2 linked regions of the Diceros bicornis minor genome follow. Each later gene encodes a partner of the first gene's protein in a complex. Links are inferred from orthologs where the notes say so. Each region holds a gene or a part of one and is shown on either strand. Other genes may lie near its edges.

The links.
Region 2: GTF2A1 (region 1) and GTF2H5 share a complex: the UniProt entries of both Homo sapiens proteins name them as parts of the TBP-based Pol II pre-initiation complex. The link is inferred for Diceros bicornis minor from reciprocal best matches to the Homo sapiens genes GTF2A1 and GTF2H5.

What each region holds. Positions count from the first base shown.
Region 1 is NC_080763.1:28,583,138-28,594,945, reverse strand, and holds the start of GTF2A1 (transcription initiation factor IIA subunit 1), read left to right. Parts: upstream 1-6,938; 5' UTR 6,939-7,358; coding exon 7,359-7,388; intron 7,389-11,808. UniProt on the Homo sapiens protein: TFIIA is a component of the transcription machinery of RNA polymerase II and plays an important role in transcriptional activation. TFIIA in a complex with TBP mediates transcriptional activity.
Region 2 is NC_080778.1:11,401,278-11,412,711, forward strand, and holds the start of GTF2H5 (general transcription factor IIH subunit 5), read right to left. Parts: upstream 5,315-11,434; 5' UTR 4,469-5,314; coding exon 4,434-4,468; intron 3,499-4,433; coding exon 3,448-3,498; intron 1-3,447. UniProt on the Homo sapiens protein: Component of the general transcription and DNA repair factor IIH (TFIIH) core complex, which is involved in general and transcription-coupled nucleotide excision repair (NER) of damaged DNA and, when complexed to CAK, in RNA transcription by RNA polymerase II.

The sequences.
Region 1 (11,808 bases):
GTTTTAAGAAAAAAGACATTTCCTGCTCTTGACCTGGAATCAGAATAAGACATTTCTCCAAGGAACATTGGCCTTGAAGTACCATAATTTAGGTACTACGTGTACTCATTGCTACTGGGTTGGTTATTGTTTCTAGGCCTTTTCAGAGCTGGGGGAAAAAAATTTAAAGCAAAATGCATCATGATACTTCTAATTGAAATTCAGGATTATAGAACTTTTACTTATCGTCTTCTACCTGATATCTTTATTTCCTTTCTCCTATGTTGTGATCATGCTTCTTAAGAACGATTGAGATGATATGCAGTCACACATCGGTTAACGACAGGGCTACATTCTCAACAATGCGTCATTAGGCAATTTGGTCATTGTGTGAACATCGTAGAGTTTACTTACATGAACCTAGATGGTATAGCCTACTACACACCTAGGCTATATGGTATAGCCTATTGCTACGAGGCTACAAACCTGTATAGTATGTTACTGTACTGAATAATGTAGGCAATTGTAACACAATGGTAAGTATTTGTGTATCTAAACATAGAAAAGGACAGTAAAAATACAGTATAAAAGACAAAAAATGTTACACCTGTATAGGGCACTTACGGTGAAAGGAGGTTGTAGGACTTGAAGTTGCTCTGGGTGAGTCAGTGAGTGAGTGGTGAGCGAGTGTGAAGGCCTAGGACATTACTACATACTACCGTAGCCTTTATAAACACTGTACACTTAGGCCAAACTAAATTTATATAAAGAATTTTTCTTTCTTCAATAATAAATTAACCTTAGTTTATTATAACTTTTTTACTTTATAAACTTTTTCATTTTTCAAAACTTTTTGACTTTTATAACATTTAGCTTAAAACACATTGTACAACTGTAGAAAAATATTTTATGTCCTTATTCTATGAGCTTTTCTCTATTTTTAAAATTTTTAATTTTCTTTAACTTTTTAAACCTTTTTGTTAAAAAGTAAGACACAAACACACACATTAGCCTAGGCCTACACGGGGTCAGGATCATCAATATCACTGTCATCCACCTCCACATCTTGTCCCACTGGAAGGTCTTCAGGGGCAATAACATGCATGGAGCTGTCATCTCCTGTGGTGACAATGCCTTCCTCTTGAATGCTTCTTAAAGGACCAGCCTGAGGCTCTTCTCAAGGAGGTGCTACTCTTTTCAGAAATATGTCCATGGTGGTTTGCTTGGTTTCTTTCTTTTTTCATCATAGATTTGCTTATAAGCAGATAATGCACCATGAACATTCCTATTAATGAAAAACTTTGGTGTTGGGGTCCATGTTTTCAAACTTTTTAAGGAGCTTCTTGAGGTTTGCAAAAGCTGCTAAACCCTTCACTGTGAATTTTCTTCTGGGTTCTTCTTTTTCTTATCTTGCAGTTTCCTTTTTCTTGTCTCTTTCTTCAGCTGTGTCTTCCTGTTCTACTTCCAACAACTCATTAGCCAATTCCTCAGGAACCACCTCTGGGAGCTCCTCAACATCATCCCCATCCACACCCAGGTTGAAGTTGTTTGCTATCTCAACCATAGCCTGTTGATTTTTGCAATTTCTCATCCTTGTCAAATCCTTTGAAGTCATAAACGAACCTCCTAAGTGTCTTCTTCCGGACGCCATTCATACACTCCTTGCTGACATCACCCCAAGCCTTAGCAAAGTTCTTGATGCAGTCATAGATGTTGTAATCTTTCTAGAATTGCATCAGTGTCTTCTTCAGTTGCAGCAATAGCCTGAGCAAGGGTCCTCCTAAGGTAGCAGGCCTTACAACTGCTATAACTCCTTGATCTGTTGATTGGATCAAAGAGGTGGTGTTTGGAGGGAGAAACAACACTTTGATATTGGAATGAAGATCACCAATAAAAGAAGGATGTCTGGAAACATTAGAAACAATAAGCAAAACCTCTAAAAGTATGTTATTCTCCAAATAGTACTTCTCCATTTCATATTAAAAACCCCAAATGCATATAAAATATTACCATCACTATAAATATTAACATTAAAAATTTTTTTTTGATATTTCCTTTTGTTCTTAGAGAATATCCCACTACAAATATATAATCAAATTACTGTGTTTTACAGGCACTTGAAAAAGTTCCTCTCTGTGTGTTATGGAATATACTGATAGGTAGATATGCTTCATTTTATTTTCAGTTTTGGGATTTCTTTTCAACAGTTAATTTTGTCTTTGGGTGGTGAACATGATGTCATCTATACAGAAAGTGAAATGTAATGATGTACACCTGAAATTTATATGTTATAAACAAATGTTACCGCAATAAAAAAGGGTTAATCTTGTTTTTAATTTAACAAAATTAAACTTTTAAATTTACTTAAATTTTATTAATTTATCTTCTATTTATTATTTATTTGTTATTTATTTAAATTATTTTTAGATTTGAATCTAAAAATCTAAGCTATAAATCTAAAAAGTAAAACTATGTTTAAATAAGTCTAGCTTCTATTCCCGTCTTCTTCACACTGTTTTCTCATTGTCCTTAAAAATAACCCTTTTGAAAAAAAAAATTGTTTTATTTTTCCTTTTTTTTTAATGGAAGCAAGTGTTTACACATTTTTATAGTTCCCATTTTCTTAAACAGTAGCATACAAAGAAAACTTTTCTCTACTTTGCTTTTGTCACGTAACACTACATTTTGAAGATCCTTCCATAGTGGTATATAGAGATAGTCCTCATTCCTTGTTACAGCTGCATTGTATTCCATGTACATAAGCACCATAATTTATCTAACCAATCTCCTTATACGCACATGTGGGGGTATTTCCATTCTTTTAGTGTTACAAGAAGTCCCATAATGAATAGTCCTGAGCATACATCTTTTCATATTTTTGCCACTACAGTCATGTGCCGCATAAGGTCGGTTTGATGAAAAATGGGCCGCATATATATGGTGGTCCCATAAGGTTAGTCCCATATAGCCTAGGTGTGTAGTAGGCTATGTCATCTAGGTGTGTGTAAGCACACCCTATGCTGTTTGCACAACAAAATTGCCCAACTAGGCATTTCTCAGAATGTATCCTCATTGTTAAGCAACACATGAGTGTTCTAGGCACAGAGTCCTAGAACTGGTATTGCTGGGTCAATGGCAAATTCATATGTAATTTTGCTAGATATAATCAGGCACATGTGTAACTAAGCAACTTGATGAACTGCAACCGATAAATCAGCATTCAGCTAAGGTGTCTGTATCTCATGATAGCATATAATTACTGTATTTACATACAAAAAGTGGTATACTCATCACTTGAGGTATCAAAATTTGGCCAAAGTTCTTATGGATAAACTAATCATCAATGATTAACAGCATTATTAAAATCTAATGGTAGTGTTCTACAAAGTGAGTTAAAAAGACCTTTCCCCCATTTTGATGTTGTTGATGTAGCTGTTATACACTTACCATAAATAATAAAAACATCCACCAAATACTTATTAAAGCATTTTCTAGTAGCTTTGATCTTCCCAACAATCATATGCAGTGGTTTTTATTCCATCTTATCAACACAGAGAGATTTAGTTACTGCAGAAGGTCACACAGTAAAGTAATGGCAGAGTCAAGCCTGATTCCACAAAGACTGCACTCTGTACACACTAAGTTAATTTGTTTTTGCTAACAAACTCGCTTTTATTTTGGTATACAGAAAATAATTGCAAGTTAGTTGCTGTTTTAAGACATGCAGTAGCAATTTCAAACTATAAGTTAGAAGAGAGGAAGAGAACATTAAAGATTTTTAAAAATCTCCTCCTCATATATATAGAGGTAATTTGTGTGATCAGCAATTTCTTCCTACATATTGCATCAAAAATTACTGCGTGTGGAAATCAACAGTTTTTTTGTAAAGGCCTAAAAATTAACTGAAATCTGAATAGAGCATAATTTTTTTGGTAGGACTGAAATACATCAGTGCTTTTATTATCTTGAATGAATGCTGTAATTATGCACCACTTTACAATAGAAACCTTCATTAGGATTAGTAAGCTTGAGATATAAGATCTTTCCTCTTTACTTTTGTATCCTCCTAAAGTGTCCAATACTATTGAGCATATAAGGGCTGCAAGATCCTTAAATATGCCAGATAATTTGCCTGATTTATTCATTTTACTATTTAAGAACATGGAGGCTGAAGGGAAGTCATATGAGAGTTTAGTTTAAGCTAATTTCCAGAGCAGTCAGTCTTTTTAGATTTTCTTTTTTCTTGGCATTGTTGCTTAAATAGTCATTTGGACAATAAAACATTTAAATGTTTGGACATATAAGGTTTGATGTCATTTTGTTTATGGTAATATTAAAATTTATCCATTGAATTTTTCCTTTTCTTCTTTTGCTTGGCAATTATCCAGTGTTTTGGCAGAATATTAATATTAAAAGAAAGAAGTAACTCTTATTCTCCAATATAAAACATTTTGAAGTAAAAAAAAAAAGATTCATCACAAAGAGAACACTATTATGTATCTGTCTAAGTATACGGCTGTTACAAAGTATGAGTTCACAAACTAAAATTCCAGTATAAACGTTTCCTATATGGTATAAAGAGCCGCTAAAATTAGAAAAGTTCTTTAAGCTTTAGGGCACAAAGAAGAAAAAGTTCAGATAAAAACAATTTAAATATGTTGCTAAATTCAGTCTTACATGGGAGGAGTTTTCTGTTCACAAATTTTCACTTTTGTGAACCAAAGAGCTGTAGCCTCCAAACTATTCAGACCCACTCTTCTGGTGCAAGATCAGAGAATATCTCTTTCTGAAACTAAACTGGTTGGCACACGTATATTGTGATTGACAGCATATTATAGCTAACTGAAGGTTGGAAAACAATAAATTGGAATGGAATCCATGATACTTAGATGCCAGGCATACGGGGGGGGGGGGGGGGGGGGATCTGGGTAAATATTAACCAAGTGTTTAGGCATTGTTGCAATTTAGTGTGTAAAGAGAGAAGTGGACTCAGAGGAGCCTCCTGGGAGTCCGAAGGTCTTAAGGAGCCAGGACTGGGTTTTCTGCCTTTTTAATGCAGTAACTATATCCTATTGTTTCAAAGGTCAGACCCAATCAGGGCATATCTGTCATCAACCCCCTTAGGAATAATTGTGTGGAGAACAAATCTCATAGATTCTTTGCCATGTCCTGTCTGCAGTAGTCTTAATTTTAACGGATAGCAAAACATTTGATCATTTAGTTAAGAATACCCAGTGGTAAGGAAGAAAATAAGGTGGAAGGTGAGGGATTCCACGTGCACACAGTACATACAGGAGGTAACAAGAAGTCTTCTTAAAATAACAAGCAGTGAAATTTACCAGGAATGGTATTGTTTAGTAAAATTTTTCAGGCTCATAGTCACCTGAATATTAAATGAATTACAAATGTGGATGGAATCATAATGTTATATATCAAGAACACTATGATTTCCTGCGAATTTTTTTTTTCTTAAGTGCCCCCAAACAGGCAGCTGTGCAGGGAACTAAGAAGCGAGTGTTAAGAGGATGTTGTTCGATCAGATGGTGTTAAAAGAAATCTCAAGATTAACAGATATTTTCTATACCCATTCACAAACTATCCACAACTTCCCATTTTCTGAGTATTAACGGCCTGCTTTCATTAATCTCTTCCTTCAAGTCCTGGCGGATTGCACCTTTTCCTCTCTCTGGTAGGACGCCTTTGATATTCTTCACATCTGGTTTCAGTGGCATAGAACTTTTGACGTTTTGTTTTGCTTTGCCTTTTAGGATAAACTCCCTCACTTGTCCAGACCACCCATTCCATGTCTCTTGAAATTCCTAGGGACAAGAAAATTAGGTACTGTGACTTCTGCCTTCTAAACAGAGCATTCTCTGTTCTGCGTGAAATGTTGATATAAAGGCGGGATTTGGTGGAGCAGAGCAGGTCAAACGCCTATAGAATTGCACTCCAAGACCTGGACAGTTTCTGCCCGCTCTCTGGCAGCGAGGAGCCGTGTGAGTTGGTTGGCCAAGGTCAAGTATTTCAGATGTTAGTCACTACATGCTGGCTATGTGGAGACACAGAATTTTGGCAGTAGGTTAAAAAAACAGGGAAGGTTATCATGCTGTCATAACCCTGTGGTCGGTGTTTCGTTTTGCTTTTTTTGGCATTTCCACTACTATCAGAAATCATTTAAGTACGTGGGCTGGTAGGGGCCGAACCTTTGGGGAACTTAAATCCAAAGACTTTGTAGCTGTACTTGAGACAAACAACTCAGCCGGTTTTAGGGGTTATTAATTCTGGAATGTGTTAACAGTAGGCCCAAATCAGCATTCATCCCCTTTAGGAACACGTACACAACTTTGCAAGCGAAAGGCCAACCCTCGGCGGAAGGCGCGAACGCCTCAAAGCTCTCAGTCTAAGCCGAGATCACGCTCTGACGTGACTCCGCGTTTAAAACTCTGCCCTGAGTCCAAGCGCGCCAGGGGCCGGAAGCTGGTCCACGTGACTGGTCCTCCTCCGCGGCCATTCCTAACGAGGCAGCCCCCACCGCCCCTTCCACATTTCCTAGCTCCTCCAGCGTGGGACGGCGCAACAACGCCTGAGAGGAGGCGGTCCCAGCAAGCTTTGGACTCGAGTATCACCAAAACTCACGCCTTTCCCGGCAGTGGTTTGCAAGCTCCTCACCCCAAACGAGCCGCCGAACTTCCGCCTGCGTGCCAACCACGTGATCACGCGAGACTTGGGGAGGCAGCGGTCCGACTTCAGTACACCAGACCCCGGGCTCCGCCTGCCCAGCACCCTCCACGGCGCGTGACGACGCGACTCGCGGCGGCCACCGCCCCGGCGCGCCTGCGCACGCGGCTCTCGCGGTGTCTCGCGCTGAGCCCCGCCCACCTGTGCCCCCGCCCTTTCCGCCCCTCCCTCCCCCTCCGCCCTGTCTCTCGGCGGCAGCGGCGGCGGCGGTGGCTCGCGCAGCTCGTTGGCTCGCTATATAAAGGGGAGAAGCGGGCGGACCGGACGGCTGGAGCTGCAGCCGGTGGCGGCAGCGGCGGCGCGGGGAGCGGCGACCGGTGGTGGTTCCCTCCTGGGCGCGGGGTGGGGAGCGGGCAACGCCCCCCGGACCCCCCAAAGGGTCGTGGTTTTTTTTTTTTAAGGGCGATTCTCGAGGTTTTTAGCTCCGGGAGGACTGCCCCCCTCCTCCACCTCCCCCTCTCCTCTCACCGCTCCCCTCTACTCCTTCAGGATCCGATTTTGTTGAAAAATTTTTCCCCCCCATCTTGCGGTGGCTTGGGTCACCCTCTGGGTGTTTCGGTTTTTTCTTTTTCTTTTTTTTGGTTTTGTTTTTCTCTTGTTTTCTCGGGGTTGCTCCCCTCTTGTTTGTGTTGTGTGTGGAAATGGCGAACTCGGCAAATACAAACACCGTGGTAAGGACGTGGTGCGGTGGCCGGCGGGGGCTTCGTCCAGGCGGCAGCAACGGCCGGACCGGGCGGGGGCGGGGACGGCGGCGACTCCCGGCCTCGACTCTCCTCAGCCGCCCGCGCGGCCACCGCCGCCGCCGCTTCCCGCCTCGGGCGGAGCGGGCCGGGGCGCCGGGCGGCGGGCGCGGGGGGGCGCCGAGGGCTCGCGGCGGCGGCGGCGGCGGCGGCGGGAGGGCGGGGGTGCCGGCGGGGCCTGGGGCCGCGGAGGCGGTTGGGCCGGGGCGAGTGCGCGGCCCCGGCCCCAGACCCCGGCCGCCGGGGGGGAGGGCGGGAGGGGAGCCGCCGCTGCCCCCGAAGTGGGCCCGGCCGCGCCGGCTCGAGAAGGGCTCCCCGAGCCGCCTCCAAACAAAAACCGGGTCTGGGGAATTGGGCGAATCCCCAAGACCCACCGCGATCCACTTTCCTGCAGTGGAACGTTGATGGCTACTTCGGGGGGGAACTTGGGGTGTTTCTGGCTGTTGTGCTTAGGGAGCCTTCGCTGGGGCCATTTTATGTTTTTTTTTTTTTTAAAAAAGGACGAAGGTTGAAAAGCACTTATCTCGGTTCCTTCCGAATCGGTAAAATGGCGAAGGGGAAGCAAAACCCCCATCGTATCTTCGACTAGCAAAAGCACCAAAACAAACAAAAAAAAGCCTACAGTGGTCAAAGTGCCCCCGCTTTCGCCTTGCAATTTGCCTACTTCTCCCCGTTCGTCCCTTTTTGGTTACTTGCGATCACGTAGGTTTGCAAAAAGCAGTCACATAAAGAACCTTTTCAGTCACCAACGCAATGTGATCACTCGTCCACCCCACTCTCTTATTTTTATTGTGACAATAAAACACGTTTTTGCCCGGTCCCAAATGCCGCAGACCTGCCCGCGGCCGCCCGACTCCGTACCGTTGGCGACTCGGGTCGATCCATCATGGCTGCGGCCGCTTACCCGGCTTTTCAGTCCCTGAGCCTTGTGGTCCTCCTCCCTTTGGCTGCCCTGTTTATATAGAGCCATTGCCGCTCTCTAATATAGACTCTGCCAGGATGGGAAGGTGCTTTTCAGGCCTACGTCACCGCCTCTCCATTTAAACACCAGATCCGGCTTTAAATAGTGAGAGCTGCTGAGAGCGGGGCTGGGAGGTGCGTGCTCCCGACGCGAGAGGCAGGCGCGTGCAGAGCTCGATTTATTTCTAGGTCCTTTCCTTAGCCTGTCATGTTCGCACCCAACGGGGGCTGCTTTCAGAGCCCCAAGTTTTTGTTGTGGTGCAGCCGCTGGGATTTGCCGTCTTTGTTAGGGGAAAAGAGAATTGCTTTCCTTTTTAGTTTTATTTTTGTTTTTAGAGATAATTTTAGGTCAGATGTCTAATCGTTCTTGTATTACAAGATGCCTACATTATTGTCGGGAATGGAAAAAAAGTGCTTTCTACGTTAACTGTTAGCTGCAAAGGACTTGACTTTGGTAGTATTGTGTTCATCAAGTATTCAGGAAATGTGTTAGAATCTAGCTCCTAATATTTCATTATGTTTTCTTATAATAAATAGCGGAGACACGAAGCTGTTCAAAGAAGTAGATAAGTGCCTGAAGCTTCAACGTAGCACCTATATCCACAGTACATTTCTGTGTAGGGGAATTGTGAGTAATGAAAGTGAGGAGGCTTTAACTGCAAACTGGATTTTAAAAAATTAAAATTCTGAGCAGACAAGGTTTTTATTGAATTGGATATTAGTGTGATATCCAATAGAGAAATTAATCCAGTTTGTTTTCCAGTATTGCATGGGGGACTAACACTTTTGAAAGGAACCTTCTAATGAATCATTAGATAATGCTACTAATGGCCCTTGAAATTACCAGTTTTTAGGTTTGAAATATGTGTTTTTTGAAAACCATGACAAACCTCTTAAATGACTTTTTATTTCGTAAAAGGTAAAAACTTTGGCTCAAGGCAAGTTTAGCATTTTAAATAATAATTTGGAAATTGCGTATTTCAAATAGTGCCTGTGTACCCACATACTTCTAAAAACATCAGGATTTTAAGGGCTTTTCAACTTATGAACAATTCTCTTAAATTATTCTTTTTTTTTTTTTTTTTTTTTTTTGTGAGGCGATCAGCCCTGAGCTAACATCCGCCAATCCTCCTCTTTTTTTGCTGAGGAAGACGGCCCTGGGCTAACATCGGTGCCTATCTTCCTCCACTTTATATGGGACGCCGCCACAGCATGGCTTACCAAGCAGTGCGTCGGTGCGCGCCCGGGATCCGAACCAGCGAACCCCGGGCCGCCGCAGCGGAGCGCGCGCACTTAACCGCTTGCGCCACCGGGCCAGCCCCTTAAATTATTCTTTATGTGTATACTTCATGAAGAATACACATTTCCCTTCTTTCAACTGTAGTGCTTATGAATCCATGAAGTGCTCAAGTTTTGGGTTAATTAAGGCACAAAAGCAAAATCTTATTAAAGCAAGGTTGATACATTAAATAGGGAGTGCCAGAAGGAAAGCACATTTGTTACCTATAAATGTCTAGACCTCCAAGCAGAAGATTTTTAGGGGTGACTAATTTCAGAAACCCAAAGCAACATCTAGTTTGCTGAAAAAATAATTTATATCATCAATTTAAGTTTTATACTACCAATTAAAAGTTACACTGCCTCTTTTTAATGTCATTATTGGTTTTAAACAAAGCACTTTATAAATGTGTTTTGTAATTCAGTAGTTAAATTGCCATAGATAAGGTGATACCCATAGGCAGACTTTCCTCTTATATAGAATCAGAATATTAAAATAGAGACACTGTAGAGATGCACGTTTTACACACGAATAATTTTAAAGTTCACAGAAGCTGATTTGGCAAACTAAAAAAGCAAGTTAGTGAGTGGAGCAGCAGAGGTGAGAACCTAGATACATGAATTGTTTTTCTGGTTGTAATGAAAAAGAGCAAATAGTTTTTAATGGTTGAGGTACATTTTATGGAAGAATTCATTATTTGTATTTTTAACTAGGCAAGGACACATTTTCTTAGAGGGTTCCCTTGTGATAACAGTTTTGCTGATAGAGATGCTAATGAAACATTTATTTCTGTTTGAGGTTTGCCTATGAGAGCAAACCCTTAGTTTTATTGGATAACCAGTAACTTTTACCTTAAACAAGATAGAACACAAATAGTGACAAAGCTTATTAAAAGAAAAAGGCTGTTAACCTTAACTCTGTGATAATGGATAGGATTTATAGTGAGGCAACTCTAGTTTTATTATTCTAACATGTAAACTTCCGTTTGTCTGATGTGTTAAAAATAGGATGTGGGGTTGGGCAAATTGTTCTCTATCCCACCTTTTGCTTTTTAAAAAATACTTTATACTTTTGAAAGTGCTTTCACATGTATTTTCATTTTATCCTTCTGGCAACCTTCTAGAAGCAAGCTTCCCCTCACCCCCAAGTAATACCAACAATAATAGTAATAATAATAATAATTTAAAAAATAAACATTGAGGGGCTGGCCCGGTGGTGCAAACGGTTAAGTGCGCGCGCTCTGCTGCGGCGGCCCGGGGTTCGCTGGTTCGGATCCTGGGCGCACACTGACGCCCCGCTTGGCGAGCCGTGCTGTGGTGGCGTCCCATATAAAGTGGAGGAAGATGGGCATGGATGTTAGCCCAGGGCCAGTCTTCCTCAGCAAAAAAAAGAGGATTGGCAGATGTTAGCTCAGGGCTGATCTTCCTCACACACACACACAAAAAACATCGAGGCTGCTCAAGATTCTATTCCATAGCATCATTTGGGCAGTGGTAGAAGGAGAGAAATCCTGAGAGAGACATCAGTATGCCTTGTTCCTCTGGGACTTGAGGATCTGTTATTGTGAATATATGAACAGTTTTGTGGTATAGCTTAAGGATACAGACTGAGTAACAAAAACAAAAATGAGGTGATTTTTAGATTTGGATACTCATTAGGTTGCAGATTATTACCAGGCAGATGACTGCAGGACATAAGGTTCTCTAAAGTCTGAGACTTAGTGACGAGGTTATGAGATAGAATAGGATCAGACTAAGCAAGGAGTAATAGGAACTAGGCATAGCAACCCATAAAGCTATTACTGGATCACATTACAACATAGGAAATTATAACTGGAAATTGTATGGGCCTTGTATGTGTAAGGACCTTCTGCATATGAACTGCATTAAATAGTCTTAAAACTTCTGTTAAAATAGTCATCCAATAATCCATTTTAACTAAGGCAAATGAGGTTTATTAGGATGGCCATATTTTTAAAGTTATGTCTTCTAGAATAAGATTTAGATAACTTGGAAAAATGACTATTGTATTACATTTAATTTCTTTTGAATTTGTGAAAATGTGTTTTTTAATATGTGAAAAATGATCATTTTCAACAGTCTTATTTTTCCT
Region 2 (11,434 bases), on another chromosome or scaffold:
ACTAGGCTCTATGGTACTAATCTTATGGGACCGTCATATATGGGGTCTGTCATTGACCGAAATGTTGTTACGTGGCACGTGACTGTATGTATCTCAGGCACCGTTCTGGGTGCCCGGGAAACTTCAGTGAATGTGACCCTGCTAAGCAGCAAAGGCTCACAAGGGATATATAAATGCTGTGAAAAAACAGAATAATGGTTAGACTGGTTTTGCCTTAGTTCTTATTTGCTTTTCATATACAATATATGTTTAGAAGCCAAACCCATAAGGATAAGGCTGGTCTAATAATACCTATTTCTCCAGATTCTTTGTTATTGTGCTGTAAACTGGCTGCAATTTGCACCAGTACAACAAATATTCCTTGCAGAAGCATTTGCCAAACCAACTGTGGTAACTGTCACAGCAGCGATCTGCTCGCACCTGGAACTGGACACACCTTTGTTGGGCAGATGCTGCTTGTTTCCATAATTGCTGTGGCTGGCTAGATCTGGGAAAATGCTTGGTGTGAGGCTGGCAGCTGACAGTGGTAGATCCCAACAAAGAGGAAGTTTTCACCAATCTCATTTTGACATAAAAATACAAATTTACAAACAAAAAACTTTAATTTAGCTTTAGATATTGCTATGTGATAAGCCTTGGGAGGAGAGAATCTTATTACATCCAAGTACCTTGATTTTTCAATTCACTGACGGTTAGGCCTAAATGGCCACAATTATACTCCGGTTTCTTGGATTCTTTCTTGTGGACACAAAACCAGTTAAAAGGAACTGATGGACGTGGAATTTAAATACGGCAGTAAGTGAAGCCATTCTAAGATAAGTGTCGCATTAAGACTCCCTTCTTGAACCAGGTCATACATGTCTGAGAAGTATTTTGCTGGCTGCCTGGACTGAATGTGTAGAATAGCACTACCTAGGCTATTACAGATGACCTTGTATGGTAATGCGACTGGAATTCGAAGAGAGGATCATTGGGACAACGGAAGCAGTTTTAGGAGATCTTTGAGTGGTTTGCCTATAAACCCCACACTTACCAATTCTGTACTCCAATACACCTAAATGCTTCCTACAATCTATGGATATTATAAGGTAATAAACAGACTTATGCAGATACCGTATTATTAACCATCTTCTCTTTGACATCAAATATAGACATGAGGGAAACTGAAGGATTTTTCCAATTACCATCCTGTTATTTCTTAGGCCTGGAGCCTTTTTGGAAAATTTGTATCTTTGGGAAGACAGTTATCCTTTTGAAAAATTGTGAAGACTACACTTTCGAGTTCATCTTGAAGGGAAAAATTAGTTTTGCAAGGATACTATCCATCTGCAAAATAAAATGTAAGTGGTCCTGGTGCAAAACAACCCTCCATAGGGGAACTGACTATCAAATGTAAGCTGATTAAGTGCTTCTCAAACTTAAAACTGCACTGTGACAAGACCGTTTGTATGCACAATTCTGATTTAGATTTGGGAAATAAATTTTTCATTCCTAACAAGCTCCAGATGATGCTGTGGCTGCTAGTCTGGGGATGACACGGAAGAGCAAGATGACAGAGGGCCATTAGAGCCCAGGCAGACTCAGAGGCTTGATAACAAGCAGCAAGCTAGCAGAGAGGTTGCCCAATGAGAAAAGAAAACTTACACCTCAGTTCCTCTTACAAACCGGCACTCTTTGTCCTTAAGGCTAAACTGAAAGCCTACCACCAAGATTTTAATGAGTCTCCCAGAGTTTTGCTCTTTAAAATGCAGCCCAGCCATCATTTTTTTCAAATTAAAACACAGATTTAATACAATCTCAACCATCATTCCAAATGCATTATTTTAGAAATAAGCTCAATTATTCAGAGTGAAGATTACATTGAAGAGAATTGAAAGAAACAAAAGGGAAAAAAAAATTGATAGCTCACACTGTGTGTGTGTATCTTCTGCGTCAAAAAATAACATTAACAGACCAACCAGGAAAATGTTTCTATTAATTATGACAAAATAATAAGAAAAATATAAAAATTAGCCTATAAGTCTTTTCCAAAAGATAACAGAACAGTGTGCTTAGAACTTCTAGGATCTAGACCCCTGACCCCTTTGCTTTCTTAAGTGAATATCTCTCTCCTCTCTACCAGTTTATTTTTATCAACATACTTTCTAGTCCTTCAGATTAAAACAACGAAAATAACAAGAACCAGAGTCCGTTAACCATACCCTTCTTCAGCCACCAACCTATTTCTCTATTCCTTTGCTCATTATCACAACAAAACTTCTCCAAATTGTCTCCACTTCCTTGCACACACATAACAAGAACCAGAGTCCGTTAACCATACCCTTCTTCAGCCACCAACCTATTTCTCTATTCCTTTGCTCATTATCACAACAAAACTTCTCCAAATTGTCTCCACTTCCTTGCCTCGCTTTCAAAGCAGTCCAAACTGGCATCTATCCGCCCTCTCCATTAAAACAGCTCTCATAAAAATCAATGACCTCCAGTGTGTCTTCGCCTTATTCCACCTCTCATCGCCACTTGACACAGCCCACTCACCTTCATGAAACATTCTCTCCCTTAGCTTCCCTCCTACTTAACTGGCTGTTTTCTTCTTAACTGCCTTTGCTGGTGTCTCCTCTACCCAAACTCTAAATCTGCACTACTCCTAAGAGAGCCCACTAGTCACATGTCACTACTGAGTACTTGAAATGTGGCCAGTCTGTGCAATGTGCTGTAAAAGTAAAATACACATTGGATTTTGAAGCTTTAGTATGAAAAAAGGCGGTACAAGTCTGAAGTGTTAATACGGACTTTGAAGACTTAGAACATGTTGAAACATTTTGGATATATGAATTAAATAAAACATATTAATTTCACCTGATTCATTTTACTTTTTAATGGGGCTACTAGAAAATTTAAGACTATGTATGTGGCTCACATTATATTTCTATTGGGCAGTGCTGCTCTAAATGCCAGATGTATCTTGGGGTTTGGTCTTGCTCCTTCCTCAGCCTTGCTATCACAGTAAACAGTACCATCATCCATACAATGGCTCATATTAGAGGCACAGAAACTGTGGGAGATCACGATTTGGCCACCCTGAAATATGTCTCTTTACCTTGATTGTTTTCTCTGACCGATATTTGACCTCCCCCACTAACTGCCTAAAGAATTTAACACAGAAGACCTGCTCCAGGAAGGAGTTACTATCTGATGGCTGTAATACAATGTAAAATAGATGTTACAATAGGAAAGGCACCAACAAGCCCATCTTATCAAAAATTCTGTCTCTCCCAGCCCACATTCTCTAGGTGGCCCTGCAAAGAGTTGCCAGACAAACATTTACATTTATAAGGGAAATCCCCATTTGTAAAGGTATCTCCCACTCTGTACTGGGAAGTGTGGGGATAGCCTTGTCTCTGTAGAAACTCTTATCAGTACGGAAGGAAACAACTTAAATCTACATACTTTTGATTCCTGTGATTTCTGTCTCTCCAGACACATTCTCTATAGATGGCCCTGCAAAGAATCATCTGACATTTACATTTCCCTCTCCATGTAAATTGTCTTCTTCCCCTCTGAAATCGCAACCCCCCCTACCCCCAACATCCTCCTTTGTCTTTAGCTGAAGATAGTATTTAAGATGAGAATCACTGCTGGTTTGTTGAGAAACTCAGTTTCCCTGGTTTCTCCCATGTATACATGTTATTAAACTTGCTATTATTTTCTCCTGCTACCCTGTCTTTTAATTATTTGGCCAGCCATAAGAACCTTAAGGGAAAGGGCACAGGGAGATTCTCCCTCTTTCCCGACAAAATGTAGACAGCAGTATTTTCAGACAATGGGAATGTCCACAGGGCAGGATTCCCAGATGAGACAGAACTGTTTGGTGGAGCAAACAAACAAGCAGAGACTGAGCAAGACTGGTCCAGTAGTTCAGGTTTTCAGACTGAGTGATAACTAAGCCCTACATTAGCTTGCTTTGAGGAACTCAACTCGGCCCATTAAAGTTTCTAGTTTTGCCTCTGGAATGTGTGCCTAGTTTAAGAAACCTTCAACTGGCTCTCCTGTTTTTCTTTCTCTTTTTAAAAGACCATAGTCTGTGATGGTGAAGACTCAGGCAGACCCTAAAATTCTAGTCAACCCCTGATGGTTTGAGAACACAAGCACTGTTCCTCTAAAGAGGATTAATTAACAAATATGCTGCCTCTGACCAAAACTTGTTGGAAATAATGCCAGTTACATCAATTCAACAGAGGCACTGAGATCTGGCACCAGGAAGAAACACAGCAACAAAACCTGTCCCACTTGTTATTAAGAAAAATGAAGTTGAGAAAATGGAAAGACTTGGTTCATTCAGATCTTAAAACACAAATGGATTTTAGAAGATGTACACATGTAAATCCAGATTTACTATGTAGATTTAAAACTCCTTAAGTAGCAAAACTACTAACCATTCTATAAGAACTCCTTTCAGGACGTTGACCATCTTCCCAGGCAGAAGGTGCAGACGACCTTAAAAATGCCAACAAAAGGGATAAGGTGACATAAAATTCAAAAGCATCAACTTTAATACACTCTGGTGACCTCTGAAACAAGGAGAAATATTAAATGTCAAGACTAAACATTTAAATTTATGAAAGACACAGGGCTAAGATTAAGAAAACATACAGATATTGTAATCTTTTAACAAAATTAAAATGAGTCTATTTGGAATACTAATAAGCATAAATCTTACTTGCAAACAAATTCTACCCACTGTCAATCCTACCGTGTGCCCAACCTAGGTTTAAAACATGTCCGTTAGTCAAAACATTTCTTTTCCCATCCAAAAGTACGATAAAAGAGAAGATCCTGGAGGCAGGAATCACAGAACGGTAGCTCTGACAGGGGCCTTAAAAATTATATAGTGAGCCGGACCATCTGGTTTTACAGATGAGATCGAGCCAAGAGATTAAGCTGTAGCTCCCGGGAAACAAAACACAGGAGGGTGCAAGCCCAGTCTCCAGATCTTGTGTCCTTTCACCAAATAATCACGTTCCCCGTGACTTGCGCTTGAAGGAAGGGAACCCACCCAGCGCACGCCAGAGTGACCCCTAAACTTCTACACCTGGGCGCGGGCAACGCCTCCCCGTAGGAAACGCACAGCTCAATGGTGCGGGACGGCCGCCCGCCTCGTCAGGAAGGGCCAGGAGAGGGTACAAGACACCACCACGAACCCCACAACCTGGAGGACATGCTTCTGAGTCATTTCTCGCTCTCCACTCTTTCTTCGAGACCCCTCCGCCTTCCAGATACCCCACTTTACCCTCTTACTCCGAGAGCCGACGCCACGCACCTACGCCCAAACACCCAGCAGCGTCTCGGCGTCGCCGACAAAGTGCGCCTGCGTCCTCTACGTCATCGCGTCTGCGTCTCTCTTGTGGGTGGAGCGCGCCGACGGGAGGCGGGGCGCGGGCTGGGCCGAGGGGGCGGGGCGAGGTGGGGGCGGGGTCACGTACCGCCAGCCACCAGGTGGAGGGCGCGGGGTGGGAGCCGCCGAGAGCGGTGGGCTCGCCACCTACGGGATCCGCGGTGAGCGGCGGGGGCGCGCCGAGTCCGCGTGCCGGCAGGTAGGAAGGGGAGGCCGGGCTCGTGGGGGCGGGTGAGGGCGCCGGCGAAGCCGGGCACGGGGGGTAGTGGGGAGGGCGGCGACGGGGCGCGGCCGGGGCGCCCCCGCGAGGACGCGGGGCCCCCGACTGACCCGCTGACCCGCCGCCGGGCGTGAGGGCCGCTCGCTCAGCGTCAGCAGCCGGACTCTTCTTTTCCGGTCACGGCCGTTCTCTAGTTCCTCTCCGAGGCCCAAAGAGCACCTGCCGGTACCGTCAGCCCGGGCGGGGTAGTCACGGAGAGATGAGGACCAGGAGGTGGAAACAGTCTCCCCATTCACATCGGAACCTTCCAGACCGCAGCTGCTAGCTCTGCCCTGGGGGATTGAATAGATTGAATACTGATAGGTCTCTAAGCCCGGTAACGGTTATTCTAAAGTGAAAGACCCCAGGGGGTTCCAAAATTAATCCCTTCCCCAGATTCTGACCTGTAGTCTCATAGAGCTCTCTCTTTCTTTAATTGTTTTTACCAGTGGAGATGTGAGGTTCTTGCTTTCTGTGCCTTGGGTAAATTGTGCTTTCCCAATTGAGCTTACGCTCCTTTTTATTTCTTGTGTTCATGTAATTTACGAACCTAGTTTTTCCATTTATTTCCCTCTTTATCCCTCAAATCGTTTTCCTCCCGTTGGTTTCCATATTGTTGAGCACGCTCTCTCTCTCTCTCTTTGATCTGCCCCAAGTATAGTTCCTGCCAAGTATCTTTTCTTTTTTTTCCTTCTTGAATGTATCCTCCTCCTTGACCATCTCAGCAGTTCCATTGCGTTGAACCTCCCACTTTTGTGCTCCAGGTGCAGGCCTCATGCTTGCACCTTAATAACCTGTGAGTACTCTCAAGTCCACCTCTCAAATTGAAGTAGTTCTCATTTCATCCTCACTTCAAAACCTTCTTTCTTCCTGTGTTTTTCTGAATCACCCAGATTTGAAACCTCCATCCAATTATTCAACAAACATTTTTGTGGGCCTAATATGTGCCAGACACTGTGCTAGACTCTGGAGACACAGTGGTGAACAAGCAACTAATTATGGTGGAAAAGAGAGACACTAAAATGAGTTAACAGGAAGGTATCAGATGGTAATGTGATAAAGAGACTGGAAGGGCTGCTTTGGTTATGGAGGTGTCAGAAATGGCCTTCAGTTCATGCAGATTTCTGAATGAAAAAAAGTGACTTCTGTACACCAGCAGTAACCAGCTAGGAATTTTAATATAAAGATACTATTCATAACTGTATTCAAAACTAAAGGTATCGAGGAATAGATCAAACTAAAACTGTATAGTCTTTTAGGGAGAAAATTATAGTGCTCTATTGAAACAAAAAAGAAGACCCAAGAAATGGAGAGATATACCATATTCATGGATGGGAAGACTCAATATCATAAAGATGTCAGTTTTCCCCAATTTTACAGATTCAGGGCAATTCCAATTGAAATTGGTATATGTTTTTTCATGGAACTTGACATGCTGAGCCAAAAATATATATGGAAAGATAAAGGACCAAGAATAGCTAAGTCAATTTTGAAGAAAAATTTTAAATAAAGTCCCTTCCTCCCAGATAGCAAAACTTAATATAAAGCCATAATAATGAAGACTACTGTCTTAATTACTAGTATTGGTTCAGGGATAGAAAAATAGACTCATGGAACAGAGTAGAGAGCCTAGAACCACACCCATGTACATATGGGAGTTTAGTATACCACTAAGTGGTACTACAAAGCAGGAGGAAAAGCATAGACTGTTCAGTAAATGGTGCTGAGATACGTGATATCCATATAGAATAAAGACAAAATTAGATTCCTGCTTCACACCATTCACAACAGTAATTTCCAAATGGATTAAAGACCTAAGTGTGGAAGACACATCTGTAAAATATTTAGAAAAAAATATAGGAGGCTATATTTAGGAAAGATTTCTTTTGTTTTATTGGAGTTAAATATACATCACATAAAATTTACTACCATTTTAACCACTTTTAGGTATGTAGTTCAGTGGTATTCATGTTATTGTGCAGCCATCACTACTGTCTAACTCCAGAACTTTTTTTCTTTCTGGGAGGGATTTGTTAAGGTACGAAAAGCACCACTGAGGATGCTATTGCCTTACTCCAAATGAGAGATGATGGTGACTTGAGCTAGAGTGGTAATACCGAAAACGGAGAAAAATGGATGGATTTGTGATATGTTTTGATGGCAGAGAACAGGAATTGTGCATGGTTTAGATATGAGGTGAGGAGAAAACAAAGAATCCAGAGCAACATCCAAGTTTTGCTTGAGCTGTGTGGTAGGTTATTTACATTTATCATCAAAGGGTATTTACCGTTTGTTTGGTAGTGATGGGGAGGATGAGTGGAGGAAGAGTTTGGGGAGACAAAGAATTCTGTATTGTCAGTTGAGTTTGAAAGGCCTGTTGGGCATCCAAGTGGAAATATTCCAGTAGCTGTTGGATAGATGAGTCTGGAAAGATTGTGGCTGGAGGTACAACTTTGGAATCTCTGGCATATAGATATTTAAAACCGTGATTTGTTAGAATTAGATTTGGCTGCATTTCTGCACACAGAAAATATAAGGTAATAATGGCTTAAGTATGCATATGATTCCATAGGTAGGCAGGCCATGGCTGGTATGGCAGCAGCTCCATGATCATCAAGGACTTGGATTCTTCTGTCTTGCTATTCTGCCATCCTTAGCGTGCTGCCTCATCTCAATCTGATAGTTGAGGTGGACACTTTAATTCCAACTGCCACCTGCTCCTGGGAAGAGAGAAGAGGGAAGGTTGAAGAAAGACACATACTATTCTCTTTAAGGACACTTCTCAGAAGTTGCACATGACACATCCACTTATGACCCATTAGCCAGTTCTTAGTGACCACACTTAGCTAGAAAGAAAAATAGACAATGTAGTGCTTATTCAGTTATTTGTGTGCCCAGTTACATTTCAGGAGTTTTATTAATAAAAACGAAGGGGAGAATGGGCGTTTAGTTTCAGTCTGGTTTCTTCTCCAACCAGGGCAACGACTCTACCATTATGAAGGCTCCGGTTGTTAAATGTAATGGAATTGTTGAATATTTGTTTCACTTGGTATTCATAATCTCTCCTTTTTTACTTTCTGTGTCCTTCTTCTTAGTCTCTTAGAATTTCTCCTCTGTTTTCTACTTAAAATTAGTGTTTCAGATTTAATGTAGTCACAGTCATAATCCAAAGGCTTTGTAAAAATAGAAATCGACAGGCTGACTTTAAAATTATGTGGAAGTGAGGAGGCTGGCCCAGTGGCGTAACAGTTAAATTTGCCGGTTCGGATCCTGGGCGCGGACCTACGCACTGCTCATCAAGCCATGCTGAGGTGGTGTCCTACATAGAGCAACTAGAAGGATGTACAACTATGACATACAACTATCTACTGGGGCTTTGGGGAAAGAAAAAGGAGGAGGATTGGCAATAGATGTTAGCTCAGAGGCGGTCTTCGTCAGCAAAAAGAGGAGGATTAGCACGGATGTTAGCTCAGGACTGATCTTTCTCACAAAAAAAAAGAAAAAGAATGCTCACAGTGGTCTATGGTAGGCAGAATACTGGCCCCCCAAAGATGTCCATGCCCAAATTCCTGGATTCTGTGAATATGTTACATGACATGGCAAAAGGGACTTTGCAGATGGAATTAAGGTTACATATCTTAAGATAGGGAGATTATTTTAGATTATCCGGGAGAGCCAAATGTATCACATGGATCCTTAAAAGTGGAAGAGGAAAGCAGAAGAGTCAGAGATTTGGCAGTGTGAGAAGGATAAGCTGTTGCTGGGCCTGAGATCTAGGGGACTACCTGTAAAGACCAGAGAGAGGCCTCTGAGAGCTAAGGGTGGCACCCAGACAACAAGTGGCAAGGAAACAGGACCTTAGCCCTACAGTTGCATGGAAGTGAATTCTGCCACTGACCTGAATGAGCCTGAAAGTGGAATCGCCCCCAGAGCTTTCAATAAGGGATGCAGCCCTGCTAACACTTTGGTTTCAGCCTTGTGAGACTTTGAGCAGGGAAATTCAATCTAAAATAGTGCCTAGGGATCTGTATTTTAATAATCTGCAGACAATCCTAGGATGATATTTTGAGAAACACCGTTTTATAAACCATTTTTCAATAACTTCATCCAAAACTATGGTTTCAATTACTAGTACGTGCTAATGACTCATAAATCTATATCTATAGCTTAGACCTCTTTGCTGAGCCCACATAGCTTAATGGACATCTTACAGAATATTTTACAAGAACCTTAATCTCAGCATGTTGAAACTGGGAATTCATCCTTTTCCTCAAATCCATTTCTTTTCCTTTATTTTCCTATTTGGTAAGTATTGTCCCTATATACTCAGTAAAACCAGAAACTGGGAATCATAATTGTCTCCTCCCTCTTAGCCATTCTCCTTATCTCTTATCCAATTGTTTATTAGATTCTATTCTCTTAATACCTCCTTAAGTCTGTTTCTTCTTGATCATTCTCAGAGCCACTTCCTTAATTCAAATACAACTTTCTCTCTGATTATCCTTAAAAGCCTCCCTATTCGTTTTCCCCATGTCTACCTCTAAAAAAATTTTTTTATCGTGTTACTCCATTTCTTAAGGTTAATCTCCCAACAGCTTCCCTTAACTCAGGGTAAGCTTTAGACTGCTTAACTTAGCTAAAAATGATGTTCATGATCTCACTAGCCCCTGCCTTCAACACTCCTCTGTTAGTAATCAACAGCATGAGTCATATTAAAATCAGTGAGGAAGAGAAGACCTGAAAAACACTATCAGACAATGAACAGACATTTGTAGAACTCTCTACCCAACAGCAACAGAATATACATTTTTTTCAAGTGCATCAGGAACATTCACCAAGATAGAGCATAATCCTTGTCATAAAACAAGCCAAGATTTAAAAGAATTGAAAATATACAAAGCCTATTCTCCAGCCACAATGGAATTAAGCTAAAAATCAATAACAAAGATATCTGGAAATTCCTAAATATTTGGAAATTAAGTAACACACTTCTAAATATCCCATTAGGAAGAAGGACCTGGCCACCCACTTCCAAAAAAATTGGCCGTGAAAACCCCATGAATAGCAGCGGAGCATTGTCTGTAGCACTGGAAGATGAGAGGGTGGCACAAAAAAAAGATCAGGCAGGTTCTGCTCTGCTGTACATGGGTTCGCTAGGAGTCATAATCGACTTGACGGCGCTATCAACAACACAGACATCCCACGGATCAAAGAGGAAGCCTCATAGTGAAATTAGAAAATATTTTTAACTGAATGAAAGAAAAAACACTCAGCATATCAAAATTTGAGGGATGCAGCGAAAGCAGTGCTTAGAGGGAAATTTTTAGCATTAAATACTTATATTAGAAAGGAAGAAATCTTAGATCAGTAATCTTAACTTCAATTTTAAGAAGCTTGAGAAAGAATAGCTAGTTGAAATGAAAGCAATAAAGACTAATAAAAGAGCACAAACCGATGAAATTGATAATAGAAAAACAAGAGAGTAATTCAATTAAACTAAAAGCTGGTTCTTTGAAAATATCAATGAAATTGATAAGCCTCTAGCCAGAACAGCTAGGAAAAAGAGAAGACGCAAATTGCCAAAATCTGGAATGAAAAAGAGGACATCACTTTAGACCCAAGACCTTAAAAAGATAATATGGGAGCACTACTTAAAACCTTTTAAGGGAGAAGAATGCCAGTTCTACATAAACTCTTCCAGAATATAGAAGAAGATGGAACACTTAGCAAATTATTTTATAAGACCAGTGTTAACTTGATGTGAAAATCAAAGTAATCACAAG